Linked DNA regions of Tamandua tetradactyla. The protein of the gene in region 2 purifies or fractionates together with the protein of the main gene of each other region. This does not show direct contact. Links are inferred from orthologs where the notes say so. Each region holds a gene or a part of one and is shown on either strand. Other genes may lie near its edges.

The links.
Region 1: the proteins of RMND5A (region 2) and RANBP10 purify together in Homo sapiens (affinity purification with mass spectrometry; 4 studies listed by BioGRID and IntAct, counting the BioPlex papers as one, with this or other methods). This does not show direct contact. The link is inferred for Tamandua tetradactyla from reciprocal best matches to the Homo sapiens genes RMND5A and RANBP10.
Region 3: the proteins of RMND5A (region 2) and GID4 purify together in Homo sapiens (affinity purification with mass spectrometry; 4 studies listed by BioGRID and IntAct, counting the BioPlex papers as one, with this or other methods). This does not show direct contact. The link is inferred for Tamandua tetradactyla from reciprocal best matches to the Homo sapiens genes RMND5A and GID4.
Region 4: the proteins of RMND5A (region 2) and RANBP9 purify together in Homo sapiens (affinity purification with mass spectrometry; 9 studies listed by BioGRID and IntAct, counting the BioPlex papers as one, with this or other methods). This does not show direct contact. The link is inferred for Tamandua tetradactyla from reciprocal best matches to the Homo sapiens genes RMND5A and RANBP9.

What each region holds. Positions count from the first base shown.
Region 1 is NC_135342.1:61,645,793-61,653,719, forward strand, and holds the start of RANBP10 (ran-binding protein 10), read right to left. Parts: upstream 3,018-7,927; 5' UTR 2,754-3,017; coding exon 2,519-2,753; intron 1,639-2,518; coding exon 1,527-1,638; intron 1-1,526. Other genes in the region: TSNAXIP1 (translin-associated factor X-interacting protein 1), read left to right, coding at 3,366-3,412, 5,530-5,629. UniProt on the Homo sapiens protein: May act as an adapter protein to couple membrane receptors to intracellular signaling pathways.
Region 2 is NC_135343.1:60,346,559-60,353,925, reverse strand, and holds the start of RMND5A (E3 ubiquitin-protein transferase RMND5A), read left to right. Parts: upstream 1-4,361; 5' UTR 4,362-4,412; coding exon 4,413-4,554; intron 4,555-7,367.
Region 3 is NC_135332.1:1,681,688-1,689,345, reverse strand, and holds the start of GID4 (glucose-induced degradation protein 4 homolog), read right to left. Parts: upstream 3,018-7,658; 5' UTR 2,941-3,017; coding exon 2,752-2,940; intron 1-2,751. Other genes in the region: ATPAF2 (ATP synthase mitochondrial F1 complex assembly factor 2), read left to right, coding at 3,645-3,777.
Region 4 is NC_135351.1:16,820,109-16,827,466, reverse strand, and holds the start of RANBP9 (ran-binding protein 9), read left to right. Parts: upstream 1-4,341; 5' UTR 4,342-4,444; coding exon 4,445-4,982; intron 4,983-7,358. UniProt on the Homo sapiens protein: May act as scaffolding protein, and as adapter protein to couple membrane receptors to intracellular signaling pathways. Acts as a mediator of cell spreading and actin cytoskeleton rearrangement.

The sequences.
Region 1 (7,927 bases), on a different chromosome or scaffold from region 2:
TGACAAAATAACAGGGCCTTTTCCAGTAAAAGTCACTTAAAACTGAAATATTAAGTCAGTGGAAGGAATCCAGATCTCTAGGTTTGAAGATTTCCCTTCTGAAAAGCTGCCCTCTTTTCTCAAGAGCTCAGCTGTTATGTATGATAAAGACTACAGAGAAACAATCCATTTCTCTCCCCAAGAGTTTAAGAAATGCCCCTCAGTTTCTTTGGCAAGATGGTAATTCCAATACCAACATTTTATTCTACACTGTAACCATCTTGGGGAGATATTGGTTTGTTTTGTTTTAGGAGGCCATCTGATTCATACTAGTTGAAGCACATCCAATATATGTGTTTTAACAGACGGTGGGAAGAGAAAGTGGGGGTATTAAAGCCTTCTAACAATATAAATTTCCTATCTGTAAATGTACTAGATGGGGATAAAAATGAAAGATGCTATAGCTTCCCTTCATCAGAATCAGAATCACAGAACTCTGTGGTTAAAGGAAGCTAAAATGCTGGACTAACTTCCCACAGTCCAGACAAATAAATGAAGCTCCAAGACCCACAAAAGGCCACAGCCAAATTCGACATCACTGAGGAAGCAGGCAGAGCTCTGACTCTGGCAGTCCTGCTCTAGCACAACCCCTTGGCTGGGCATTCTGCATATGCTACAAGAGGAACAGTACCTAGAAGAGAGGAAGTATTTTGAATGCTCAAGAATACACACTCAAGGTTGACACAAAAATCACTGGTAAGGTTGGTAAATTTCCCCTACCAGACCTGATGGAAAACCTTTCCAAGGTAGCCACAATCATATTATTTCATAAGCACCTACTTGGTACATTCACTGTAAAAAAAAAAAAAAAAAAAGGGAGAAGAAGAAAAAGAGAAATGAAGAATATCCCTCCAATATTTCCTCTGATTTCCTGTGTCTGTTTAGATCACCCTCAAATAGGGAGTCCTCCTAATGCTGACTTTAATGAGGACCTTCTAAAGCTGGTACAACTGGTACTCAAGTCCCTGGATTGAAAAACAAGTTTATGGGCAGCAAAGTCACCTGACTCTGACCATGTGTATGCTGTTTACCCTGAGATGACAGGCCAGAGGCTGCCACAGCTTTGATGAATGCTGCAAAGACTCTACTATTCCTTTGAAGCCTACTGAGGCCACTGCATGACTAAATGCCATAAAAATCTTGAATGTGCCAAGGCCATGAAAGGAGGGAAGTCACAAACACCTAACTGAAGGGGAAAACCCCAATCAGGACACTGAGTTGTTAATGTATGCTTGTTATTTGTTTCCGTGACCTGTGAAGTATCTCATGACATCATCAATAAAAAGCAATCCTCTCCACCTCCAACTAACCTACTTGTCATCAAGATATGCTTCTTAGACCAAGCTATGCCTACAGCCAGGGAATTGAAACAGTCCACTATTCCATCCTCTGCAGCCCAGAAGTTCCTATCAGACACCATAAGTGGTCCAACTCTGACCACAGGGCACAGGTCAACGTAGGGGAAAGACAGTGCTAACCAGGCTTACCCATCTCTTCCTTTGCTGACAATCTTCACCTCGAAGTAATAAATGCCACAGGCAGCAGGTATGGGGTGGGTGGCGCGCACTGAGGCTGCATCTTTGTGATTTTTGCCATGACCTAATAGGAGAGAGGAGGAAAGAAATTTCAGCAGAAGATGCAAATGGAAGCTTCATTCTTCTTTGTTCCTTGGCAACTTCAGCAGAGCTCAAAAGCTCATCTCCTGTATTTTATGTATGATTGTTCTGTAAACCCACAATCTCTTTAATAAAAACTAAAAACAAATTAAAAAAAAAAAACTTACCTCTCAGTGGTCAGAGAAAGCCCTCGCACCATTCAAGGGAAAATTAGAGACAACTAAGCAACCATGTAAACCACCTACCTTTGGCTCACCTCCTCCTGAGAATAGCAGTCCTGCCTGAGACAATGTTTCCCATACAGAAAAAAAACGGTGCAGAGAGTATGGGTACCTATGTGAAAGTCCCCTGAGCTGCTACCAGTCTCTCAAGAACTGGGCAGCCCACATTGGAGGGAGCCCAGTAGAAGGAGGCACTGGAAAACCAATGCTAAAGGTTAGTGCAGAATCCCTGGCTCAGTATGGAATGTCTGGCAGAAAAGCAAACCCATGGGCCCCTGGCTGATGGTGGGGTTATGACCACCCTTTTCTTTAGATATAAGTAAAACTAAAGGGTGGTGAAGGGCCCAGCTGGAGTTGGAGCCATCCCAGGACAAGTAGGGAAGGCTTCGGGTGGAAATTCCTGCCCAGCAATGGGTCTGGACACCTGTTGCACTTCTCTGGACCTCGGGTTTCTAAGGGCAGAGCAAAGCGGGCAGTGAGCCTTCGGCCTGGTCAGCTAGACCACCCTGGACACCCCGCTGGGCTAAGGCCTAACCCAGAGCACGAGGGCCGGGGAAGGGCCCTGACCCGGCAGAGGTCGAGAAGCATAGCCGCCCCGCAGATGCTCCAGTCTTTCCCCACTACGGTCAAACTAGCCAATACCTTTGTAGTGGACGCGGAGGTTGCCCTGGGAGAGGCCGATGTAGTTGTACTTGTCCTTGGGGCTCCAGGAGCGCGGCAGCGGCGTCTCGTGCTGATTGACAGCAGGGTACAAGCGCTGCAGGCGCTGGCTCAGCTCTTGCTCCCCCGGGGACGGTAACCCGCTCCCCGTGCTCCCGCCAGAGGAGTCTCCAGCCTGCGGGTTCCCAGCTCCCGGGTCCGCCGCCGCCGCCGCCATCTTGGAGGGAGCTGCTATTGTGTCACTGGGGGCGGGGAGGAGCCAGACCAGATCCTCCCCGCTCAGCCAATGACCAGCGAGCCTGCTGGGACCGCAGGGAAACCGAGTCCGAGTCCGCACCTCTCTTCGGACACTGGCACACCTCGGTACATTTTGTACTCCATATCCCACAATGCAGAGCTCTCTAGGGGCGGCCCAACTCGGACTGCTTGTGACCTTTGGGAGATGAAGTCTATACCTGCTCAGCCATGAATCTGTCCAACCGAGACTTGAGGACACTAAAAACTACAATTCCCGCTGGCAAAGCGCCTTAGGCCTCTTAATGAACCTCCCGCCCCTCTAGCAGCTATTTATCCCCCCGCCTCAGTTCTGTTAGCTAGGGTCAAGTCCTCTGTAGTGACTGATTCCGAGAGGACCCCGCTCCTGGGCCTTAGTCTATCTTTGTTTCTTGGTCTTCCACCCAGCCCGCGAACGCTGAGCTCGGGGGCGTGGCACAGCCCTGGCCCCGCCCCCCACCGCCGAGCCGCTGGGGTCTGGTCACCATGGAGACGGGCTGTACACTACCGAAGTTTCTCAATCCCTGGGTGCTGGCTGCTCTGCAGCCGGAGGGTCATGGCCTGCTCGCCGCCGCAGCGCTCCAGCTTCATGCCCTTACCGAGGTAGGCGCTGGCCGAACCAAGGGCGGAAAAAGGGCTTAAATATTTCTGGCGAGGGAAGCGGCACCTGACCCAGACCTCTGCACTCCTGCTGGCCTCTTTCTGGTGCCCTGGGACTCCAGTCCCAAAGGCGCGGAAGTGCAGAAATAGAATCCGGGCTGGTCAACCCAGGAAGGACGTTACGTTCTAGCAAAAGGGCAGACGCAGTTTATCACTAGTGGTAACAGCCAGCTTATATCGAGCATATGTTATGCGTTAAGAGTTTTATATAGAGAGATCATGTTTTGAATATGCTAAGTAATGGAGCTAGGATTTGAGCCCAAATTATGTCAAACTGCAGAACCTGAACTCCTAGCTATGGAGCTAAACTGCCTCTTCACTCACTGCTTTATATGTGGGTGCTGGCTAACTCTAAGCAGCCCAGGCACATCCCACACCCACTCTGCCTGGATTCATGGATGCAGCCTCTGGACCCTACAAAATGTAATGACAAATCCCGTGGGCCAGGAAGGCCACAAAAAATCTGTATTAGAACAAAATTTGGGCTAAATACTTTTTTAGCTTTAAGTCATTAAGTTCTTAAAGTACCAGGCCTCGGTTTCTACATCTTAAATATGGGGATGATGTACCCCACCTCACCAGACTGGGAACATTTAAGCAGAAAATGTGAAGCTCCCGTCATAGCTCTTGCATATAATGTGCACTTAGTAAGTGCTAAATGAGTGTAGTTTCCCCTATCTACTCATTCCCAAAGCGAAATACCAAATCTTACCTCCTCTAATCCTTCAGGACCTGAAACCTTGACAGAGAAAGCCTGCAAGTGTCCCCCTAGAAAAAGGAGTTAAAGACTATTTTGATTCTTTTATCTGGAGCTAAAATGACTCTACAAGAACCAGGCAGCAAGTTTGAGAAAGAGTATTGTTACCCAGCACAAGAATGATTTAGGAAAACTGTAGTCATGTTTGGCAGGGATTTGAAACAGACTCAGAAAAAAAAATCCCCATCTATTTTGAGAAGGAAGTACAATGTAATTGCTAGGGCTAAATTTGGTGGCAGTACAAAACATCACTTGTTCCTGTCTGTTTTCTTCATTCACCAGTATTTACTGTTCACTTACATTGTGCCAGGCCTACTGTTTTTCTACCATTAGAGCAAAGCCAGGATGAAGAACAGGACAGAGCCTTAGCACTGTAGAACATATCGATAATTTACTGCTAATATGGACAGATGAGTTAAAAAATAACAAAAAATAAATAAATAATAAGGGGGATAAGGAGTAAAGCAAAAATCAATACTAGTGGCCAATGAGAGGTAGGGGTAAAAGGTATGGGATATATGGGATTTTTCTTTTGTCTTTTTATTTCTTTTTCTGAAGTGATGCAATGTTCTAAAAATGATCGTGATGATGTATATACAAACTATGTGGTGACATTGTGAGCCATTGATTGTATACTTTGTTTGGACTATATAGTACATGAAGCTTAGAAGCTTATCTCAATAAAACTATTAAAAAAAAAAAAGAGAGACCCGCTAAAAGGAATCTTTGATCGTGAATTTAAACTTCTTAACAACTCTGTGAGATGGGCAAAGCAAGAATTACCTCCATTTTTTGTGAGAGAACTGAGGATGAGAGAAGTTAAATGCCTTGCCTAAGGGAATCATGTTGGGAAACCCAGATGTCAGCCCCTAGGCCCTATCAGTTTGATAAGTGGCACATACAAGACTGGCACCTGGTTCTTGGACCCCAAACCCTGGTGTTCTTGCCCTATAGCACCCTGTCTTTGGTACCATACCCACCAGAGTGTGGCAGTCACGTACATTAAACTGTCATTGCAGCCATAGCTGAATACTGACTATAAGTGTAGGCCTACCGGGTTCTCTGGACTCATGGTAAGGGTATCCTGCTGTTGCAGGAGTTGGTGAGTCTCTGGCATTGAGAAAGTCTCTGGGGAGGCAGGAAAATGGTTTGTGCCCAGGCCCAAGAGCTTGCTTGACAACACTGGGAAGGCCCAGGGCCTGCTTCTGTGGGGGAGAGGAGGCTGTGTCCTTTGGATCCAGGGGGAGGAGTTCTGCCTGTTCAGGGTCTTTCACCCACCACTAGCTTCCCTTTCTCTGTGCAGAACATACCTACGGTCTTCAGGAGTGATCATAGATGACTCTTTTGTCCCAGAAGCCAAGAGTGTCCAGAAACGCAAGCTTTCTCAGAAACGGAAGACACTGGTGAGTGATGATGCCCAATTAGAACCCCAGATGTCAGCCTATAGACCTCCTCCTCTCAGACCCAAAAGCACCACCGATCTGAAAGATCTCTACCAGAACTACCTCTCCTGAGTTGGGGAATATGGCTCTGGGGATAAGGGAGTGTATACTGTCTGTACTCCTCTAAGGCTCCCCAGAACTCAGCCCCTGCCCGTACACCCCCTCCCTCTGCAGCTCACCATTCTTCATTCAGCCTGCCCTGAGCCAGGCACTGTAGTAGGTACAGGGTTGTTCACATCAGGGCTGCTCAGCCTTCAAGGTTCTGATGGTTTTTTGTCTTTTGTTTTTTTTTTTTTTTTTTGGTAACAGTATCTTTTTAACTTAATGGCTCCAGTTCCTGAATAGGTACTTGAGAGACTGGTGTATGATGAGAGCTTCATAAATGTTTGTGGGTGGATATGTGAAGGCAGGAGTAAAGGGATGTTTTTCTATAATGCTGTTGGATCAGGTTTGGAAATAGAGATTCTTTTCCAGCCTCAGGAAAAAAATCCTGTTCTTCAAGATTTTTGTATAAAAGTTAATACTGTCTTATTAAAAACCTTTTGTTAATATGACTATAGGATTGTTATTATTTAACCAGTAAATAACCATTGCGCAAATCTCACAGATTATGTATTATATCTATCTATAGATACATGCAAACTTATAACTCCAGCTCACAGTGGAGCACCATGAGCTGTGTGCGTTTTCTTTTGTAAACGTGTCCTGTGTGCAGAATTTGAGAACACATGGAACACAAAATTTTCTAGTCTGGGGACTCCCAACAGGAGGACCCCCAACTCCAAGGAGGGAAAGGAGGGCAATGTGGATTCTTTGCAGAGACCATGTTAAGCCATGGCCCTGCAAGACCTGATGACTTGGGGCCAGTGCCCACCCTATCGGCCCCCACTCGCCTGCCACCTACTCGACTTGGGACCCGGCCCTTTTGCCCTTCTTCCGCACTGCAGCTGCGACGCCGTCCTCAACCGCCAGGGGGCGCTATTCCCCCTCATCGTTCTCCAGTGCCCGCCAGGGAAGCTGAAAACATGGAGTCCCAGGGCAGACTGTGCGGCCGCTGGTTCTCCAATTTCCCTTCCCCTCCGCAGTCAAAGTATGGCGACCGCGTTTCAATCTGACAGAACCCACAAACAGGACACGAGAATTGACCTTTTGAAAGTCTGAAGAACTAATTTATCAGGCAATTTATCAGGAATTGTTCTTGACAATTTCTGGCGTAATGTATGGTTACTTTGCACTTTTATAAAAATTTCATCAATTTTGAGTCGTTCAAAAAAACTTTTTCTAGCTTAATTTTTAACAATTTGACTTTTAATTTTTCCAAATTTGCCTATTTCTACTTTTATCTCCTGTTTGTAATTTTATTGCTTTCCTTTTGATTACTAGTTTTTTTCCTTTTCAGGCAACCAGAGGTACAGTCCCTTAAGGATTTCCTATTCGATAGTGAAAGTATTTCACGCAATTAAAATAAATGCCTTGTGTCCCCGTGCCTGCCCATGCAAAAATAAATAAATAAACAAACAAATAAATAAATAATAAATACCTTGTAAGTTTGCTCTAGCCGTGTCCCAAACAATTTTTTTCCTTTTACTTATTTATTGAAGTCATAGGTTTACAGAAAAAAATCATGCATAAAATTGGCTTCTCAAATATTATCCCACACTTTTGCATTAATGTGGTGACTTTGCTGCAATTAATGAAGAATATTTTTATAATTGTACTATTAACTATAGTCCATACTTTAGGAGTCACTGTTTTTGTTGCACAGTCCTATGGATATATATGTATTTAAAATTTTTATTCTAGTGACATATAAACAACCTAAAATTTCCCCTTTTAATCACATTCAAATATATATTTCAGTGCTGCTAATTATGTTCACAATGTTGTGCTACCATATCCACCATACGTTATCAAAAATTTTTCATCATCCCAAATATAAACTGTGTACAATTTAAGCATTAAGTCCGCATTCCCTACTGCCACCCCCAGCCCCTGGTAACATATATTCTAATTTTTTACTATGAATTTACTGATTCTAATATTTCATATCAGTGAGATCAGACAATATTTGTCCATTTGTGTCTGGCTTATTTCATTTAACATAATGTCTTCAAGGTTCATCGATGTTGTTGCTTGTATTAGAACTTCATTCCTTTTTATGGCTGAATAATATTCCATTATGTGTATATACCACATTTTGTTTACCTATTCATCAGTTAATGGATACTTGGGTTGCTTCCATTTTTTGGCAATTGTAAA
Region 2 (7,367 bases):
TTTGAAAAAGTGCACATATGCAGGTATATGTATGCACACACAAAAAAAACTCTGGACATTCAGCCTGAATGTTAAAACTGATTTATTTTTCTGGGTGATTTCAAAGGATTCTTATTTCTTTCATTTATTTGTATTTTCTAGTTTTTCTACAATGTATACTTTTTTATCACAAAGACAAAAAGCTTTTTTTTCCCTCTTTTTTTAGTAATGTTTACTCAAACATTTTTTTGAGTAATGTCACAGAGAATCAAATTTGGGGTGGAGGCAAGGACAAGAGCAAAGTCTAGAATGACTGCAAATTAAAGATTTTCCAAATTGAACAGACTTGGGGCAGAAGTCCATTTCATTCTGCAGTGAGTTTTTTTGTTTTGCGCATGTGTGGTAGTTCTTTTTTGTTGTGTCGTGGAAATGCAATTATCCAAATTAATTTGCAGTTGTCCTGCAAACTGAGTTTCTCTCTTGTTTCTAAACACCCTTTTCTGAGGAGACAAGTTTAGACTTACAGCAATTATGCACTGGGTAGGAAAGGCCAGTAAAAATGAGGGGACATAAAAGCTCTGCCTTTATATATGTTATTTTTCTCTCTCTTCTTGGCTAAATTTGCAGCCTTTTCTTCTCTTATTTATTCTTTTCTTTAGCACTTTTCCTATGTTGATTAAATCATGGGAGAGAAAAAGAAGCAAAATAAGTTGGTCCTGAACTGGGAGCTAAAAATCTAGTTGAGTTGGATAAACAAAATGTGGTATATACACACAATGGAATACAGTAGGACCTTGTTTTACACAAACTCAACACACATGAATTTAGGTGTAGGTGACTGGCAATCGAAAAAAATAAAGGCAGAGAGTGAGAATTAATATTTAAAAAAATTATTTCTATGATTAACTGTTTATTGTTGCTGGAGTGTTTGCCTTACGTATTAAAAAATGTATGATAAGTATGTTTGTATAAGGAACACCTGTTAAAAAATGAGGTTTGCTATTATGCATGATTTTCAATTTGCAAATTTTTAACTAATGCAAAGGGTCTGGAAGGTATTGGTCGCATAAGACGAGGTCTTACTGTATTATTCAGCTCTAAAAAAAACGGAATTGTGATACATGTGACAAAACAGATGAACTACGAAGACATCATGTTGAATGAAATAAGCCAGATGGAAAGGTCGAATATTGTTTGGTCTCACTGATATGAAATAAGGCAAATTCACAGTCAGGATCTAGAACATAGTTATGAGGGAATGGGGCAGGCATAGGGAATTAAGGCTTAAACTGTACAGAGTTCCTATTTGGAATGATGGAAATGTTTTGGTAATGGATGGTGGTGATGATAGCACAACATATGAACATTAACTAATAGCACAGAAATATATAACTGAATATGGTTAAAAAGGAACTATAAGGTTGTATATATGGTACCATAATAAAAAATTTAAAAAATTCCCTGGAACAGTACAACACAGTGACCTCTAAGTTAAAACAATGGACTATAGTTAATAGCACAATTATAAAAATATGCTTTCATTAATTGTAACAGACATATCACACCAAGATGAGATGTTAATAATAGGATGGTATATTGGACTCCTGTATTTTATGCATGACTTTTCTGTAAACCCACTTCTCAAACAAAAGAAAACAAAATGGGGCAATTTGCACTATATATAGAGGGTGAATGAAAAAAAGGAGATAATCTGTATCCCTAATGAGGACAAAATCCTGGGGGTCATTAATGATTCTGGGCTGAATGAAGACAGAAGTCTTAGCAAATGGATCTTGAGAAGGACCTAGATGAATGGCAAAAGAACCAGATTAGTGAAGTTGGGGGAATTGATGAAGAAAAGGTTTTCAAGAATCCTACAGGTATGTTAAAGACCAAGATAGAGAAGAGGCAGAGGAACCTGGGAGAGGTAAGGTAATGCCAGCAAAAACTTCGGAGTCCAGGGGTGGTGGTGGTGGTGACGTTAATTTGGGGAGGGCAAAATGGTTTTGACATGTCGATTGGAAGTAATCATGGGTCTCCTGGATGATGTCTTGCTAACTGAGGAAAATGTGTGGCTAGAGTTTATGAGGCAGATAACAGATGGAGAAAGAAGTTATCCACAGAGGTAACTAACTGTTGAAAGGCCCAGTGTAGAGCATTCTCCTGGGATAGAAGGTAAAAGGAGAAGAGAAGGCTGAGGGTAGAATCCTGAGTGAATGCCCACACACCCAGAAGGCTAACTGAGAAGGACTAGCAAGGGAGAAGGGGTGACTGAACCCGACTAGAGCAATGCCCTCGTGGTCAAGGGAGAATTAATATGTGAAGATATCAGAATTTCATACGCTGTAGTGAGATAAAAGTGAAAAAACAGAGAAGAGGGTGATTGAGCTTATTTAGGGAGATCTTTGGAGAAAAGGGAAGAACAAGGGTAGAGGCTTTGTCTAGGTAGTTTGGCAATGAAAGGACTGAAAGGAAAAGGGAAACCAGCTTGAAAATGCAAAAGGATTAATTGAAGTTCTCTCGGTCCCACTCCTCACCCCAGGTAGGTCAGTTATATTCAACCTGAATGCAGAAAAAAGAAAGAACTCCATGCAGAGGGAAGGGAGGAAGATATGGGGAGGGAGAAGAGGAAGCCAGCATGCCCCAAAAGAAGGGACTCCCGTTCCTCTGGGCCCAAGAGGTTCACAACATGGACTCTAAGGACAGAACTGCTTTGAGGAGCACGGTAGACAGTGCTGGCAGTAAATGGTCATTATCTTTTTCAGTGAAGCTGGATTGGGCTGTCTGCCAAGAAAGAGAGGCGAAAGTTATGGGGAGAGAGGGGAAGAAAAAGGAAATTTGTAACAGCAACCCTTCAGACTGCCCTTGAGAAGTACCAAGAAATGAACGAAAGGACTGGGTGCTGGATCACAGCTTCTGCAACTTTTGCGTTGCCATCTAATATTTCTTCCTGGGAACTGACAATAGCAATCACCGTAGCCATTTGTCCTGTGGCCTATTATGGGCATTTATGTGCACCATCTCGCTTCATCTTCCTAACAATCTAGTGAAGTAGGTACTAATGTTTCCAAATTAGAAAAAGAGGAAACTGAGGCTTAAAAAATGTTATCACCTCAGTTTAAACAGAAAGGGGGTGGGATGGCCTACCACGTTGCCAGGCAGGGTCCCAGGCAAAGAAAAAGCCAGGCAAGGTGCCTGCCGTTGCGGGGAGACGTAAAAGTAAAGAAATACTTGAACAGGCTCCTTTCAGATTTTGATGAGTAGTGAGAAGATGAGAAAAATACCATCTTGAATCTGAGCAGCAATCTCGTCCGAGGACAAGAATGGCAGGAGAGTGTTCCAGGCCCAGAATCCAAGGGGACGCTGCGGGCCCGCGCTGGGAACGCAAGGCGGGGCGCGGCCGAGGGGCGAGAGCCAGGGGCGGGGGGATGAACTAGCCCGCGCAGCCCGCCGCACACTGCATCAGGGGAAGGCGCCCCTCCTCGGCGGTGGCTTCCTCGCTCCTAGCCGTTGGCCAGGGGGTGTCAGGGGCCTACGGGGCGACGGTCGCCTTTCCCTGCCATTTGCATCCTCGACCGGCCTGGCTTTCCGCGTGGGCAGCTGGCCCGTCTGCCAGAACTTCCGGACTACGATGTCTCTTCCCCTTGGGACCGACGCGGATAGTTAAAGGTGTGTTTAGCAGAAAGTCCTGTGGAAATGAACCTTCTTACTTGTCTTGCTTCCCGCTCTCTCCTCCCCCCGCCCCCCAAGGCTTCTCAAAAACGGCTAGCCTCAGGACGCATCCGTGGCACCCCCTCCAACAGCGAGACCGTTGGTTTGGCCCCTCAGTACGGATTGGCTAACGTGTGAGCCTCGGCCAGGAATTGGCGGGCGTTAGTTCCTGACGCGCTCCCCGCGCCCATTCGCGACTTCGGGGGCGTGGCCAGGCCCCAGGCCGCCCCTGTTTACGGAGCACGGGGGCGGTCCCTAGAGCACCCTGTTTCGCGGCTCGAGCCAATCGGGCCCTAGCCCCGCCCCTGCCCGCTCCCTTCCACGCCCTCCGCGCGGGGGACCGCACACCTTTAGAGCGGCAGCGCGTCCGAATTCCTCACTCCCCCGCAAGCGTGTGCTTGGTTCGGCCCGCGTCGCCTCCTCCGAGCGGCTGCGCCCCTCGGTCCGGCCGCGCTTGGTGCCGCCCGGGAGATCCAGGTCATCGGACGCTCCCGGGAAAACAAAAACAATCCGCGGCGCCGCGGGGACAGCAGAGCGCGGCGGGCCGGGCCAGGGACGAGGGGGGCCGAGCGCCATGGCGCGGGCGGGCACGGGCCGGTCAGGGCTGCCCCGGCGCCGTGGCTAGCGCGCCTGTCGCTCCCGCCACCGCCGCAGCCGCCGCGCGCCTTGGGGACGAGGAGCGAGACGCGGCCTCGGCCGGGCTCGGGCCGCAGAGCGCCGGCATGGACCAGTGCGTGACGGTGGAGCGCGAGCTGGAGAAGGTGCTGCACAAGTTCTCGGGCTATGGGCAGCTTTGCGAGCGCGGCCTGGAGGAGCTCATCGACTACGCCGGCGGCCTCCGGCGCGAGATCCTGCAGAGCCACGGTAGGGCGGCCCGGCCTCCCCCAGTTGCCCCTACCTCTCGGCGGGTCCCGGCGTAGCGGGACCGTCCCTCGTCCCCCGGTTGGCCCCGGAGTGCCGGCAGCCTGCGGGTAGCGCGCGGAGCCCAAGAAGGTGGTCCTCACCTTTGCATACGCTGTGCCGAAAGCCTCGAGTGCGGCCCACGGTGGCAGTCCCCGCAGTCCCAAGAGCCCACTGCCGGGGAGAAGCTCTGAACCGGCTCCCGGGGAACCGGGATCCAACTATTCCGTTCCCCTAGAGGAGCCTGTAAGGAGACTGAGTGGGAAGCGAGTTGTTTCGTGCCTCTACTCACCGGGTCAAGTTTTTACTTGTTTCCTTCTAAAAAACAGGTTTTCTGGGGAAGGTGTTTTACCTATGATATTATTTCACCACTTTCCCAGGCCCTGGGGACGGATTTATTTGCCGAAGTTAATTTGTGGAAGCTGGTTGGGAAAGGTTCTGGTTTGGTTTGGTTTGGTTTGGTTTTAATATATAACGTGGAAGGTCTGGTGTTCTTGCCTTAAAATAGTCACAGCAATGATGGTTTCTGGTCAAGAATAAATCTTTTTACTTAATTGGTTTATTTGAGAGGCTGGGGGTGCTTTTTCAACTTGTGATCTGTGAAGGGAAGCTTATGTAAATGGGGGGTTGGTGGCTGGGGAGAAATGCTGATGCTTGGGACAGTTGACGTGAGGGAAGTGACACTCTTCAAGCTTCGCTCTCCTTTGCCCCCTTCATCTTCTACACCTTAATTCACACATCCCATCCCCCATGAACCCCCACTGTGTTTGGGTTGAGGGTAAGTGCCAGTCCATGGTAAGGGAGTCTTAGGACAACATCTTGTTGTGGACGTACTTTTTCTTTTTTTAACAGTTTTATTCACATATTATTCAATCCATCCTGACAATACTTTTGAACTGCAGGGAAGGAAGCAAACCATTGTGGCGGTGGGATTAGAGAGAATAAGAGTTGAAATATTAATGTGGAAAAACCAGCAGACCTCCGAGGCTGCCAGGGAAGGGTGGTTTGATTGTTTTAGCAGGTGATGATATAATTGGTAGCAATGGGGAAGTGGAGGTGGAGTGGGTGAGAATCCTGGTAAGGCTCTTGGCTTTGGAAATGTGAGACGGAGCTGAATGGCTTAACAAAGATAAGAGTCAAGGGTTTAATATTTATTAGCAGCTGGAGATGCATAGGTGGAGTTTGGGAGAAAAGATCTACGACTGTTTGTTATTTTTACAGAGGTAGGTGGAGATCACACTCAGGTGTAGGAGACAAAAGATTGTGGGGTCGAACCACAACCTTGAACCTCCCTTTGAGAGTGTAGGGCAAAGAAGGAGCCAGCCAAAACTGAAAAGGACAGGCAAAGACTTAGGAAAAGAAAGTTTGGCCAGCAGCTCTTTGGCTAGTGGGAGTCAGTGACTCTGCTTGCAGTTCCATAGGTTTAAGACAGGCCAGATTATTAGGAGTTAAGGAGAAAAATATGATGCACACTGGGTGTAAGGAGACCCAAGGCTACTCACATACAGCCTGAGGGAGGAAGGTGTCTTCTTCCTCCTGGCCCCCTCCCCAGTTTGGAGCCAGAGATGAAATCTTTGCCTTATTAAAGGCTAAATGGAAGGAACTAGTATAGGAAGAGAATGAAAGGCCTACACTTGGGGAGATGGAAGCAACATTTCCATTTTAGGTTCAGGGTCTCAGATCAAAAGATTGTATAGGGAGGGTTTGAGAAGGAGAAGATGGACCTTTCTTTCCTAAGGCAGAGTGTATTTATCCAAGGAGGTGTGACTGTTAGCTTTGTTTTAGGGGATTTGGGGGCAATCCCAGATGGATTAAGTAATTGTGAGGAATTGCCAAAGCAGGTTTCACCTTAGGTCTCTTTGCTCAGTTTCAAGGAACTTTTTTATGAATATATGGTCCCGGGGGTCATACCCACACAGTATGCCATGATGTTAAACCAGTCTGACTTGGTGTGAGTTCCCTTTTCAAACTCTTATTTTTTATTGTCTACCAAAACGGAAAGTCTTATATTGGTATCCCTCTGTTTTCCTTTAATTCTTTAATGATAGGATCAAGTGACTAAAGGCAGTTATAAAACAGGAAACAAAAGTAAATACCAGAGGGCTGTCCATGGTGGCTCAGCAGGCATAGTTCTCGCCTGCCATGCCAGAGACCCAGGTTCATATCTTGGTGCCTCCCATGCAAATAAAATAAAAAATAAAAAAATAATACCAGAAGTGCCAGGTTGAGAGTCCAAAATAAAATCTCTCTTTTTTCTTTTGATATCTTTTATGTATGAAGACAAACATCAAGTTTGGTATATGGGTTATGGTTTTTTCAAAGCAGATGCTTTCTAAATTAAAGTTCTCTGCAGGTGATATGGTAGATACTACATTGAATCTTTTAAAAAAACTTTTTGGTTTGAAATACTTTCAAATTTTCAGTATAGTTAAACTATTATATTGAATCTGAAATATACCCTTCTCAGAGATATATCTATTGAGAACTGAATGTGGAACTCCATTTCAAAGGAGAATGTTGAGAGCTTCGGAGTGTACCAGTCTTGGGCAAGTGATCTGATTAGCTTCTGTGAACCGAGAGAGACTCCAGTTGGGACTCTGTTATGGCTTTGGAGCCTGGGCTTATGTGTGGTAATACTCTTGCAAGAATGTGATATGAATAAAGTAGAATCTTGGGGACTTTTAGGTGCCTCAAGGTCCCTATTGGACACAACGTTGCATCATGCTGGAGAGACTGCCTGTTTCAGAAGAGCTCTTTAACTAGAGTCCAGGGAACCA
Region 3 (7,658 bases), on a different chromosome or scaffold from region 2:
AGCAACCCAAATGACCATTTCTGATGAAGAGACAAATACTGAGGTCCAGCCATACAACAGCTATCATTTGGCCAAGGAATCAAATACTGATGCTAAGTGAAAGAAGCCAGTCATAAAAGACCACATATTGTATAATTCTGCTTTTAAAAAATGTCCTGAATAGGCGAATCTAAAATACAAAAAGTAGATTAGTGGTAGCTGGAGTTGGGGGGTGAAAGCTAAGGGGCATAAGGCTTCCTTCAGGATGATGAAAATGTGCTAAAATTAGATTGCAGTGATGGCTGCACAACTCGGTGAAAATACTTAAAACCACTGAATTGTACACTTCAAATGGATGGATTGTATGGTATGTGGATTCTATCTCAATAAAGCTGTGAAAAGGAAGAAAAGAAGGAAGAAAGGAAGGGAAAGAAAGTGGCTGCCTTACAAAAGGCAGAAGTAGTCTAAGAAGGCTGAGTCGAAGAAACTAGTCCTGGCTGAAAAACCAGATGATGGAGCAATTCCCGTGCCGCTGATGAGTCCCTGGGGTGACCAAGCAGCCGCTGAAGCCGGATGGAGGGCGGCATTCCTTGGCATGACTGTCTCTCCGCCCCCATCAGCCACCCCACTCATGCGGCTTCTAGCACTTGGCCAGGCTTTTCCTCTGGGCTGTCCTGAGACCTATCAGCAGTGCAGAAGTTTCTCCAAACATCAGATTCTACAAACTCAGCAGCTCAGTCACACCTTCAACTTGGCTCAAGGGAAACTTGGCACTTGACGTGAGTTCAGGAATATTATACATTAACGACAGACGAGAGCAGTTCCTGCAGGCTGCCGGGCAGACCCTCCTCTGACACTTAGCTACCTACCCCACTGGTTGTCCCTACAGCACTGGAAACCATCCAATTAAAAAAGCACACAAATTCAAGCTCATCCCAAATGTGGTCCAAACAGGGATCTCACTTCCAGGATTTCATGTTTAGCTGCAAAAAGATAAAGCCCTCACCTTCACACTACATTTCACATATCAAGCGAAAGCAAAGGGGAATCACTGCATTAGACATATCATTTTGAAGAACTGAACTACCTCAGCCCAGTAGTTTCTCAATTACAATGAGATCACAGCTCACGTTAGAGCCTGGAGTTTACAGACCAAGATAGAATTAACATGAGGATGCAGTCCTCCTGGTCCAAAAAAAAGAGAAGAAAGTTACTTATTTCCATGGAACAGTGTGAAATGGAAAGTGATAAAAGAGCTACAGTTAGCAGGAAGAAAAACGTCCCCCCACTGACTTTGCTGGGAGACCTGTCTGTTCAGAAGAGAAGCGGTTTAGGATTTAAAATAAAAGAAGACTGAGGAGGGCTGCAAGGAGGGGACACGTCCTCTATTCTCTCCCTGCACACAGAAGCTGTCAGGCTTCACACGTGGACTATGAAACTCTCTGTAGGATTTCCAGGGAGGACCACTGTTTGGAGAGGCTTTGGGGGAACAGCCTAGGAGGTGGGGCGTCTGGCTAAGGAAAAAGGGGCAGAGGGAGGGAGAAAAGTGGGTTTCAAGGTAGGCAGGAGCAGGCATGGAGGAAAAATGGTTTTGTGGGGAGGAAAGATAAAAAGGGGTATTCACACCACCAACCTCCTTGGGCTGGGGAAAAATGTCATGTGTGCTACCGCTTGTGTGGGAGGGGAGAGGTGCTGGACGGGCCAGGGCAGGTGGCATTGTAGCCCCAAAGCCTGGTCCGGCCTGGCAGCAGGTACTCGAGATCCAGGTCAGGTAGGGGGAGGTGGATGGACACAGAAAGGAAATATCCATGTGAGACACAGAACTGGGTGAGTTGGATTTCCCAGCCCGCGGGTATCAGAGACTAGGAGGAAGCCCTGTGCCGGTGCAGATAAAAGTTAAGAACACAGAAAAGAGGGCTCCCTGGAGCAAGGAATGAGGAAGATGAAGGTATGGGGTGGGGAGGTCTGGGGGGAGAGCCCTGGGACACTGGAAGTAGCCAGAGCAGGGGGGGCAGGGAGTGGGCGAACCCTAGGACAGGAGGCCTGGGGGTGGGGGCAGCTGCGAGGAGCCGGGTGCTGGGAGCATGCAGAGGCTGGAACTGTGGGTGGTACCGCGGGGGACGCAAGAGGCAAGATGCTAACAGGCTGTGAGGAGCCCCACTGGGCGGCTCCCAGGGTGCGAGGGGCTGGTCTTGAGGGGAGGGGGGCACGGTCTGGGGACTCAGCTGTGGGTGGGGACTCCTGGGAGCTAACGGAATGAAGGGACTCCCAGGTAGGAGGGCTGACCACACTTTTTCGAGGGGGGGCTGCCCTGATCTTGGGGGATCCCTGGGACTGAGAAGGGGGGCCTGTTTCAAGTCTGGGAGAATCTGGCATGGGCCTAGCCTGTGGGGGGACCCCCGAGAGGGATGGGCAGGGGCTACTCCAGAGGAGACAAGTCAAGAAGAAGGAGCGGCCAGGCCGGAGTGGGGCAGTCATGGGGGGGCTCCGGATCCCGTGGGGGTCGGGTGCCGGGGAGCCAGGTCCGGCGGAAGGCTCAGGGAGTGCCGGGAGCCGGTCGCGGAAGCCCCGGGCCCGCGGGGACAGGTCGGGCCGCGGCTCGCGGAGTTTGAGGCGCCAGCGGGGCCGGTCCCGGGTGAGCTGCGGCGGGTGCAGCAGGCCCCGGCGGCCCGGCCTGGTCGGCGGCCGCGGGCTCGAGGCCCCGGGGCCCGGCTCCGGCCCGTGAACGCCGCGAGGAGGCCCTCGGGCCCGGCCAGCCGGCCCGGCGCTCACCTGCAGCACCACCTCCACGTCGTACGAGTTCCCCTTGCTCTTCTGGTGGCCGCGGAACTTGGAGCCGCTGTAGAGCAGGCTGGTGGCCACGCCAGGCTGCTGCGTGTTGATGGGCGGCGGCGGGATAAGCGAGGCCGCCGAGGCGGCCGCGGCACCGGCCGGCGGGGGGCACTCGGTGCGGACCGGCATCGCGGGGTCCCCGGGAGCCAGGGCTGGGGGGAGGGGAGAGGAACGGCCGCCGCCGCGCGGGAGCCGAGGAGCGCGGCGGGGAGGGCGGGGCGGGGCGCGCACGCGCGCGGCGGGGGCGGGTGGGGAGGGGTCACCCGCCCACTGCCTGCGGACCAACGCTCCGGCAGCCCCGGGACCCCGGGATCTGCGAGCTGGGCCTCCCCGTCCGGCGCTGGATCCCCTCCTCACTTGCCCTCGCACACACACACACATACACACAGACACACACACACACACACACACACACACACACACACACTCTCACTCACTCACACCAGTCCTTCCGATTGGTGCGGGCGCGCCGGGGGGCAGGAACAGGCTCAGCCGGCGCTCCCGCCCATTGGCGGGCGGAGGAAACACGTGGCAGGGTGCGCGAGCGGCCCTCTGGGACTTGTAGTCTTCCTGCCGAGGCGCGGCGTGGTGGGGCGGGGCCAGGCGCGTTTGTGATGCTGATTGACGGGGGGCGTGCGCCGGAGGCGCGCGGGAGCGTCGGCGCGCCGTTGGCGTCACGCGGAAGGTGACGGCGTCCCGGGGACGCTGAGGAATCCGTGGAGGCTGCGAGGGGAGTTCTCGTACGGCCCGACGGCGCGATTCGGGGATTCCTTCGCTCGGTGTTTCCTGCTCTCCGGCTTCGCGCCGCGCGTCGCCCCAGGCCCTCGGGAGCCATGTGGCGGAGCTGCCTCCGGCTGCGGGGCTGGGGGCGCCGCCTCCTGAGCGGGCCCCCGCGTGGCCTCGCGGCCTCCCTGGGGTCGGGGCCAAACCATTTGCCTCCGGCCCGGGCCTACGCGCCCCCGACAGGTGAGGCCAGGGTCCGTTCCGTTTTGGCCAGGGCCCGAGCCGGGCTAAGGTGGGCTGAGGAGTTCAGCCATGCAGGGTGGGTACCCAGGTAGGGTCCTGTGCAGACCCGGAAAGCGAAGCCCAGACTAGGGCAGAGCGGGCCGGAGGGCGCCCGGGTGTGTCAGCCCTAGACGGTCATTGCCGCTCGGCCCGGGCGTTTTTTCTCAAAGCTCACGGCTTTCGTCTCCTTAGCAGCGCAAGCTGGTGTGATCCCAGGTTTCGGACGGAGAGATTCGGGTTCTGAATCGGGACTTCACCAGGGTCACGCTGCAGACTTAGAGAGGTCGTGGAGGGCAAAGGTTGGCCTGCCTGGCCCCCCCCCCCCACACACACACACATACCGACACTTTCCCCCTCCGCCCTTGATGAGTGAGGCCTTGAAGAACGGTTTGGCCCTTTCCCTCCTGCTGGGGAGAGGTTTTTGGGTGGGAGGATCTCATTTTAGTGAATAAAGAGTAGTGACACTCTCCTTCCCTTCCCTTAGTTGCTTTATGCCGGAGGTAGGGTGTGCAGTGGTTTCAAGACAGGTGTGGTCCACCTTGAGAATGTTCATTGTCAAGTGCAGAAGATTATACTGTTCTGATTAAATAGGAAGTTATAATACAAAGAAGCTGCGACAACACAGAGACGCCCTGATTCCCATGTTGGGGGTGCTCAGGATCTAGAAAGAGTCGTGAGTAATAGGGCATTAAAGTTGGGCCTTGATGGATGAGTAGGAGTTGGGTGAAGAGGAGGAGGAAGAGTGTTAGGTAGCTAGAACACGTCCAGAGGTGACAGTGAGCCTGGTGTGAGGGACCTTGCTGTCACAACCTGCTCTCAGAAATCCAAACCACCCCAGGCAGTTTGAGGCACTGTGGCAGGAATGTAAGTCTGGTTCTAATGCTGGAGTGCTGTGTGATCTTGGGCATGTGACTGCTCTCTTTGGGGCTCATCTTCCTCTTTAAGTTAAAGGACTTAGTTTTCTCTGGACCCTTTTGGCTCCTAGGTAAAAGAATTTTATCCAAATGGGGGAGGGGATTGGATGTAGCAGGGAGTGGAGGCTTCATCCATGTATCTCATGGGCCTGGAGTGGCCCATGAGAAGCAGTAAACAGGAAGGAGGAAGGGCATCCCAGAGAGGCACAGCATGAGCAAAGGGGACACAAGCCGGAGTTTCTCAAGTTGACAAAAGCCGGGAGTTCGTGTTGGTTAGTAACTGCTCACGTTCCATCACGGTGGCAACTGATCTGCTCTCTCCTTTTCCTTTCCGCTGCAGACACAGTCGTGGAGGCTTTTGGCAGTACCTGGCGCATGGGAGGTGGTCATATGTGGAAAAAAAATTGAATGAATGAATGAGGTAGTGTGGGAGAGGGGTGCCTAGTATCAGGCCGCTGCATGCTCTGCAAAGACCTTACCGGATGGGAGAGTCTCTGCTTCTCGATGAAGGCTTCGACTGGCAAGGAGATTGAGCTTGGCCCCTGAGGACTGGGCTTGTCGCTGGAGGTTTTCCAAAGGAGAGGGGGCATTTTGGCAAGAGCCATTGAGATGTTGGAGAGGAGACCTACTTGAGGATGCTTGTGGCCTGGCAAATACCCTTGACTGCTTGGGTGGGAGGCGTTCAGGAGTGCTGAGTGCAGACGCGGTGCAGTCCAGGCTGTTTTTCACCACTTACGGCCTGGCTGTCACCTGAACAAGTCATTTAGCTGTGTCTTGGGCCTCAGAGGCAAGACCTGTTCCTGCCTTTCTCGTAGAGTGGTTGTGTGGATTGAGGGACATCCTGGAGATAAGGGGTTCAGCCCTGCAGCCTGTTTTTTTTCAATGAAGTTTTATTGAAACATAACCACCCTCATTTGTTTAGATGGTCTGTAGCCGCTTTCACCACCACAGTGGAGTTGAGTAGTTGCAGCAGATGGGATAGCCTGAAACGCCTGAAATATTTACTGTCTGGCTGTTTACAGAAACAAGTTTGCCAATCCCAGCGGTAGATGCAAGAACCATTTGGAAAATAGAGTGTGTTTAGTCATTTAGCCCATTTACATTAATTGCTGCACAAATACATGTGGCCTGAAGAATTTTTTTCTAACAGCTTTATTGTGATATAATTGATGGACCATGTAATATCCCCATTGAAAGTAGACAATTTAGTGGGTTTTAGTGTATTCACAGAATTATGCAGCCATCACCATAATTTTCGAATGTTTTCATCAACCCCCCACCCAAGAAACCCTGTATCCTTTGGATGTTGTCCCAAATCCCCCCTTTCTCCAGCCCTAGATAACTGCCAACCCTTTTTCTTTCCCTATGGATTTGCCTATTCATGACATTTCATATAAATAGAATCATACAGTATGTGTCCTTTTATAACTGATTTATTTCACTTAGCGTAAGTTTCAGCTTTTCACTTAGCATAATGTTTTCGAGGTCCATCCATGTAGCACATACTCCTTACTTTTTATGGCTAAATAATTATCTTTTGTATGTATAAACCAGATGGACACATGGATTGTTTACAACTTTTGGCTATTGTGACTAAGTCGTCTATGCACATTTGTGTATATGCTTTTGTGAGAACATGTTACAGGTATACATTTCTCTCAGGTAATATATACCTATAACCAAGATTTAAGAGTTAACAAATGACTGTGGTTACTGAATCGTTATATAGATGCTTTCTTATTTTCTAATATATTGTAGAACATCCAAAAATAAATACTGTAACTACTGAAACTCCCTGAACTGTAACCCAGGTGCCTTGATCTTTGATGGTGATACTTTGTTGTATAACTAAATAATCTTTACCTTATAACTAAAGCCTCATGATAACGCATAACGAGCTCTACATGTACCCCCTCATTTTGTTTTACAAATTTGAAGTCTTGTGATCAGGTAGATAGTTCTCTAATGTTTATTAACATAAGAATTTGAGTCAGCTCAGTACTAACTCTCCCCAATTCCTAGGCTACCTTTTTTTTTTTTTCTTTTTCAGCCAGTCCCTGTGAGTTTACTCTTATACTGTTTGTGCGTATTTCTAGATTTAAAAGATCCTTTGATTTTATGGTTGAAAGCAATGCCGGATTTAATATTCAATTATTGGCAGTAGCTGCGCTAGATCTGCTTATTGTAGGAAAGATATTTAGGGAAGTACTTCAAATAATAGCATACAGAACTTTCTCACACCTTTTGTAAGTTAATAGAAGTTTTTTTTAAAATGTTTAAGATTCCCAGTGTGGTGTGTGTGGTCAGTTAAGAACAATCTGAAGTACAAATCCTAGCCTTGACAAACGATCAGTGTTTGTATTTAGTAAGTTCAGTTTGCTTCTCTATAAAATGGGGAGAAAGTAGGGCTTTTCTCATAAAGTTGTCATAAAAGTTAATGAGGTAATAAATGTAAAATGCTTGGCATGTGTTATTCTCAATAAAATATTGTATTAGCTATTATCACATATCATGAATACCTACACATTTTACCACAGCTGTTTGGTAATAACTTTTTTTAAATATGTTTTTATTTAAGAAAACAAGCAATACACTTAGAACCGCCAAAAATAGATATTAGTTAGCTTAACCATAGGCATAATTAAATAAAATATCCATATAATCATTGTAAAGCCTGTGTTTGCAGTAAATTTCATAAACCAATTAAAAGTTAAGGCAACAAGGAAAAATTCTACATATTTGGATAGCGAAGTTCTTAAATTCTAAGTATTAAAAACTAAGATACCATTTGATCAGCTGTCAAAACTGAATATTCTCAAAAATATCAAGTAGACAGTTCTTACAAATATCTGCATTGCTATAGTAATGAACTATGTTAATAAATATTTTCCTTATTTCAGGAAAATATTCAAATTTTTTATTTCAGGA
Region 4 (7,358 bases), on a different chromosome or scaffold from region 2:
GGAGAGAATGCCTTTTGAGAATGACGAGAAAGCCACAGCACAATGCTGCAGAACCACAAAACAGAGAGTCCACCAGCCAGCAACTTTTGGAAATGAAGAAGGAAAATGCCTCTGGAGGAGCTTCATGAAAAAGAAGTTGGAAGAGAAAGCTAGCAGACTTCACCATATACCCTTCCAGCCAAGAGAGAAACCCTGAATGTCACTGGCCTTCTTGAACCTAGGTATCTTTCACTGGATGCCTTAGATTGGACATTTCCTAGACTTGTTTTAATTGGGACATTTTCTTGGCCTTAGAACTGTAAACTAGCAACTTATTAAATTCCCCCTTTTAAAAGCCATTCCGTTTCTGGTATATTTTGCAGCAGCTAGAAAACTAGAACAGTGGTGAAGGTGGCACCCGGCAGTGGACACTGTGGATAGTCTACTTATGCGGCCTGCCCTCCTTTGGTCTTTGTCTATTTTAGGCCTGGTTGTCCAGGCTTCTGGTCAATTCTGAGAACCATTCAATATCTTTCCAATTAGTTCCTTCTCTGCTTAAGAGAGCCCAGTTAACTTCTATTGTTACCGAGAAACCCAACAGACACAGATACTTATCAATATTATGGCAATATATGGTAAGAACTGAAAATATAGGTTCAGGAAGAATGTAGATAAACTCAGCTTATGGCGAATGGATTTTGGCTATTTATAGTTCTATGGACAGTTCTAAAGTTTTCATTAAAAATGTACTTTTACTTATACGTTATAATTGTCCGTTATAGAAACATTTTTAAAATTTATTTTTTTGAACACTAAGTACATTATGTATTGTTTTCTTTTTTGTGAAAAATAACATATAAAAAAGCAATAAATTTCACAGCACAGCACAATAATTAGTTGTAGAACAGATTTCAGAGTTTGGTATGGGTTATAATTCCACAATTTTAGGTTTTTAGTACTAGCTGCTCCAACACCCTGGAGACTAAAAGAAATATCAATATACTGATTCAGCAATCATACTCATTTGTGTTAAACTCTACCTTCTCTGTATAACTCCACCATCACTTTTGATCTTTTTCTCACTCTGTAGGTGGTGGTTGGATTACGCCTATTCTGACTTTTTCATGTTGGAAAGGGCTGTCAATAATGTGGGATGGGGGATGGAACTAGCTGATGTTCTGGAGAGGCTGGGCCCTCTGTATTTTAGGATTTATCTGATCCAGGGGCCCATACAGAAACATTATATGATGTCCCTTCATGTCTCTTTAAACAACTACTTTGGCAGTGTTAAAATGATCATTTAGTTCCAAGAAATGATCATGATGATGAATATGCAACTATGTGATGATATTATGAATTACTGATTCTATATGTAGAATAGAATGATCAAGAGTTAAGAATGTTTGCGTTTGTTTGGTGTTTTTTGGTACTTAAAAAATTACCAAAAAAAGATCATTTAGCCTTTTTATCATCTAGCATCTCATAATCATTTTCCATGCCTTCTAAACCACATTTTTTATGAGGCCTAGTAATATTTGTGCAAGGGGACCTGGATGGAGAGAGGTTAAAATTCCAGCTGAGATCCACTAAGTCAAGAGGAAGGGGTGCCTTTTTGTAATTGTTCACCTTCTTTTGGCAATTCCACTTCCCAGAAGGGATGTCTTGTAAAAAACTAACACAAATGGGTTTATGTACTCCTACAGTCTTCAATTTTGACATATACGAAATTATTGTACATATACGATAATTTACAGCTTCCTTCATGTTGAACATTAATTTTACTTTTGTATTTCAACCTATTTATTACTTCTTGTTGATATTTTGGGGCCTAAATTTCTTCCACATTGTAGTTTTTTTTTTTTTTGAGTTGTGATTTTTTGAATATATAAATTGTGATGGTTAAGTTCATGTGTCAACTTGGGTAGCTTAGGATGTCCAGTTGTTTGGTAAAGCAAGCCGGCCTGATAATTACTGTGAAGGTATTTCGTGGACTTAAATTATCAGTCGGTTGATCGCATCTATGGCTGATTCCATCTACAATCAGCAAAGGAGATTGCCTTCAGCAATGAGAGAACTCATCCAATCAGCTGACGAACTTAAAGGGAAAACTGATATCAGCAGTCAGAAAGAATTTCCATCTTTAGTTCAGTCAGGCAGCTTCTTCTGGGGAATTCATGGAAACCTTTATCAGAATTTCCAGCTTGCAGCCTGCCCCATGCAATTTGGACTTGCATCCCCACAGTCCTGTAAGGCAATTCCCATAATAAATCTCATAATATTTATTATATATATACACAAATATCCTGTTGGTTCTATTTCCCTAGAGAACCCTAACGAATACAAAAGGCATAAACATCTTGATAATTCTTTATAAACATCACCACATATGTGGCATTATAAAACATTATCAGTGTTCTCTGCCACCTTTGTATAAGAAGGTGCTCATTTCCCAGCATCCTCCTCCATAACAGAAATCATTAAGTTTTGGAGGTTGCTTGTTTGGACTGTAACCAGTCCCTCTGATAAAAACTTTCAACTAAATGTCAGACAATTCTGTTCCCTCAACCATTCTTAGGACATGTAAAGTTCTAAATGGTTTCCAAGTGTGGTGACAGGAAAAAAAGTACCTTTTCATAAATAAACCTTGATGACTATTTCAAGAAAGTTTGATGAGGCTTGGAGTCCATCTAGTCTCCCAAGGCCTTACTGCACTTACATAGCACTTGGCTTATATTTAACTCAATGTTATTGTAAAAGAAATGAGAGTTTCAAAACAATTTAAATACAATGAAATCATGTGGCAAAGCGCACTGACTTGAAAAAGTCATTGAACAAGTTAGAACAATGTGATATTTTTATTAAGGAACAACAGATTATCAGGTTGGGTAATTGAGGGAGAAATTAGGCTGACTTTGTTATTAGCTCCAGCCAGAGATTCAGGGCCTACAATTAAATCACCATTTACCTACCCTCTTCAAGAGAAAATAATTCTCCATTCAGCAAAAACTTTTCTTTGCTTATTGGACTAATTACCATTATAACATCTTTGGAAGCAAACAAAATGTCGGCGTTTATATCATGTAGTTCCACCATGTAGTTTACACGTGTAAGGCCAGATTTTACCGGCTAGGAAAGGAAAACGTTATATACGAAAGAAAGTAGTGAAAACAACACAGTAACTTGGATGGGTCAGAAGGAAACACTCCAAGTTGTGTCAAATTTGTCCACGAAGCACTCTACGGGGAATTGCAAAGTAGGAAGTCGTATTTTTTTTACTGTGCTGACCTCGGTGAATATTTCCTTGTCTGAAAAATGGGAAGAATCTTTTGCTACCTAACAAAGAGGCTTGTTATGAAATTAACGAGTCTATAAAACGCTCTGACGTCTGCAGAAGTCCCTCCTAAATACACACTATACCCGTGTATTCAATCAGTTCATGTTCCCGCTCTTTGAAGATTTGCCAGTCTTTATGAGTTTTCATAATGTGATACCTACCACTAAAGTCCACTTTAAGTCCTCGTTAAGTTAATTAATGAAATACTAATTTAAGTGGAAGAATTTGCCTTCAGAAATGGTTTCCACTCCCCATATGGTAAATGTGAAGGTTTTAAATTCCGTGAAGTATGAAAAGCAGCAAGAGGAAAGCAGTGCGTCCTCCAAGCGGGAGGCGGGAAACCGGACCCCCCACCCCCCTTCCCTCCAGGCTGCTAGCCTCGAGGACCCCATCGGACGCCCCGAACCCGAGCGTTCCGGGGGTGCCCGCGGTCCGCCTCGCGGCGGGCCCAGCGGAGCTCGATTACTCTTGTCTGGGCGGGAGCTGTCGTCGCCGCTCCAGCGGTAACCCACGGGGGAGGTGGGGCGACGACAACAAAAAGAAGTAAAGTAGGAGGAGACTCGCCGCGAGGAGGGCCGGACGGTCCGGCGGGGGCTGGCGGGAACCCTCGCAAGGAGGCCCCGGGAGGACGCCGCGCCGCCTGGGCCGAGCGCCCCACCGCACGCACGCGGATTCCACACAGCCTCCTGCGCCTGCGCGCGCTCGCCCGGAACCCCGCGGCCCGCCCCCCGCCCGGCGCCCTCCGTCCCCGCCCCCTCGCCTGGCGCCGCCCGCGCGCAGCGTCTCGCGCCCGCCCGCCCGCCGCGAAACAGCCGCGAGAGCAGCGGTCCGGCGGCCCCAGCGCGCGTCCTCGGCCTGCGCTCCCACGTCGTCTCCAGCCTCCGCGCTTCGTCCCAGGGCCGCGCGTCCGAGCTCCCTTCAACGTTCTGTCGGGGCCGCCCCGGGCCCCCAGCCCGTCCCGGTCTCCAAGCCCTCAACCGTCGCGCTCTGCTCGGCGCGCGGCCCGGCCGCCTGCTTCCGGGGCGGGCGAGTGGGCGCCTGGTGCCGGCGGCCGCCGCGACAGCGCCCCCGGGAAGCGCAGGAGGAAGGAGAGAAGAGGCGGAGGTGGCCGCTGGCCGAGTCGCGGCCGGGATGTCCGGGCAGCAGCAGCCGCCGCCGCAGCAGCAGCAGCAACCACAGCAGCTGCCGCCGCCGCCGCCCGCGGCCGTGGCCCCGGTGTCTGGGGTGGTCCTGCCGGCGCCCGCGGCCGTCAGCGCCGGCTCCTCTCCGGCGGGCTCTCCCGGCGGAGGCGCGGGCAGCGGCTTGGGGGCCGCGGCGGCCGCCCTGCTCCTCCACCCGCCGCCGCCGCCGCCCCCGGCCACCGCGGCCCCTCCTCCGCCGCCGCCGCCGCCTCCCTCCTCGGCGGCCGCCCCCGCACACCCCGCGCCCCCCGGCCTCCCCGCGGGCCCCGCCTCGGCCCCGGGCCTGGTGGCGGGCAGTAGCGCCGCGGCCCCCTTCCCGCACGGGGACTCGGCCCTGAACGAGCAGGAGAAGGAGCTGCAGCGGCGGCTGAAGCGCCTCTACCCGGCCGTGGACGAGCAGGAGACGCCGCTGCCGCGGTCCTGGAGCCCGAAGGACAAGTTCAGCTACATCGGCCTCTCTCAGAACAACCTGCGGGTACACTACAAAGGTACGGGGCGTGTGCGCCGCGGTGGGAGCGGGGCGCTGACCCGGCTCTCGACCCGCCCCCGCCGCCCTCCCTCCGGGTCCCGGGTCCCTCGGAGGTGCCTCTCGCCGCTCCTCCTGCAGCTCGTCCTGCAGCTCGTCCTGCAGCTCCGGGGGTGGGGAGGGGTCCCGGTGAGAGGTCCGAGGGTGAGGGAGAGTCGTGGCGGCGGAAGGTGAGTGGATAATGCTCCTGGGTCTGATGGAGCTGGTAATCCTAGGCCGAGAGTAGGATACGTTGAGTGAATCCAGGATGACAGGACGGAACTCGCTTTCTTCGCTGTAAGATAAATCTTAGGGCTCGGATTGAGGAATCTATGGGCTCGGAGTTGGGTTACATTGTTCTCCAGGTGACGGGTCAGGCGTTCTCTTCTTACGTAGGGGGAGCGGCGCGATCTGGGGTATGATTTCTAATTAAAGGAGAGCAGGGGTATACGGGGGGAGGAATGATCAGCGGAGGATGTGGCCCGAAATTAGGCCAGAGATCGTCTAGGGGGACCAAAGGACAACCGGCCCAAGTTTGCGTCAACGTATCTTACTAAAAACAACTGGGGAAGGGGAAGAGGTGAAACTACAGGAGTACGCGTTTTCTTCGGGGAGCAGAAACCTACCACTGCTGATTGGAAATGCCCTGGATTTACGTTCTGGTGTTGCGTGAAGTCTTGTTGAAAACAAGGCTTTGGTTTTTTCCATTATTTAAAATTTTTTGAAAAAAGGACTCATTTTATACCTGCATTAAAAAAACAATCAGCCACTTTAGGCTTGTGCTTGTCTCCCTCCTCTCCCTCACCTATCTTCCGTTACATTAAAACAAAGCTTTACACATGTCTGTTGTATATAACATTATAAACTGCTATAGCAAGTTTTGAAATATATCGCTAATTAATGTCACGTGTCAAGTTTACTTGTCCGGAAAAGAAAAAAAAAATCGATCTAATGTGCTGGTCTGTCTAGAAACATCCAGTTTTTTAGGCCCCAGACCTGAAGCAGTAGCTTTTGCATTCAAAGCAGCTTCATTTTGATTGGTTACGGGGGGGGGGGGGGGGCGGTTCTTAATCAGATCAGAGTGACATGAATATAGAGGGTAAAAACAATGTCTGGTTAAATTCTTAAACTGTACTAAAGACTGAAATTTGAGAACCTTGATAAAGAAGTTACTATTTAATCTGAAAGGAAAATGGCAACAGAAATCTAAATAAGTTGTCTCCAAAGAATCATGCACAAAAACAGGCCTTGTTGAATATTCCTTTTATCCTTGCCACAGTTCCAGAGAAATAACTTTACATTTTAAATGTTATGTTACTTAATCAAAATGACTTAGTTTTGGACCTTTGTTTATTATTAGGTTAGGATGTTTTGTTTATACCCTGTGAAAGCTGTTATTTAATTTGTTTTTTAATTTGCTTGAACAGTACTGTGTTACAAAGTGTTTACTTCCAATCTGGCTGCTGGAAAGCTTTTGTTGAATTTGATGAAACTTTTTATCATTTTAAATCTGTGATTGATGGTGAATAATTAGCTTATAAAATATCAGGCAGAATAATACATAAGGTTATTGAACAAAGAATCCTAGGCCCTCCGGAGTCCTGCAATCATTTGTGATTTTAGACATGTCACAAGACAGGGCTTGAGTTTCTTCCTGAGTGATGAGGGACTTGAGCTGAATGGTTGGTAAGGAAATTTCCAGCTCTGAATTTCCATGATATCTAAGATTCACAATTACAGTTTATTTAATACTGTAACATGCCTCGATTAGTTTTACTAACTCCTTTTACACAAAATTGATTAGTTGGGGCAGAGGTAAGAGCATAGTTATGTGAAATTAGTTGGAGTTCTGAACATTTATGCCACTGCTGTCTCAATTTTTTTTTGTTAACCTCTTTATTATGTTCTGTTGTGTAATAGTAAGATTCACTTTCTAGAACCATCACCATTTTAAATAAACATAAATCATTATTTTTGGAAGAATAGATAGTACTCGTTCATCCTTTTTTCCTTTCTTTTCTCTCCCTCTTTTCCATCCTTTGTCTCTCTCTCTTTTCCCTTGTTATAAAGTCACTCTCTTTTCCCCTTCTGCCTCTTCCTCTTACTTGTGTGTTTGTGTGTGTGTTGTCGTGTGTGCCTTCCTTTTGAGTGAACCGTGCAGAATGGGGCAACTGTGTCACAGTAGCAAAGTAAGGGAGCAAAGGAGAACCGTTGTGGAAATAGGAAATAAAACTTTGAAGTCACAAAATAAGAAGAGTGAGTTTTATTTAGACTGTTGTGCTGCTTCTGATTTTACCTAAGCATTGTATGACCTCTAGCCTTAAAATCCACTGTTCACTTACTATTTTTGCATATTAGA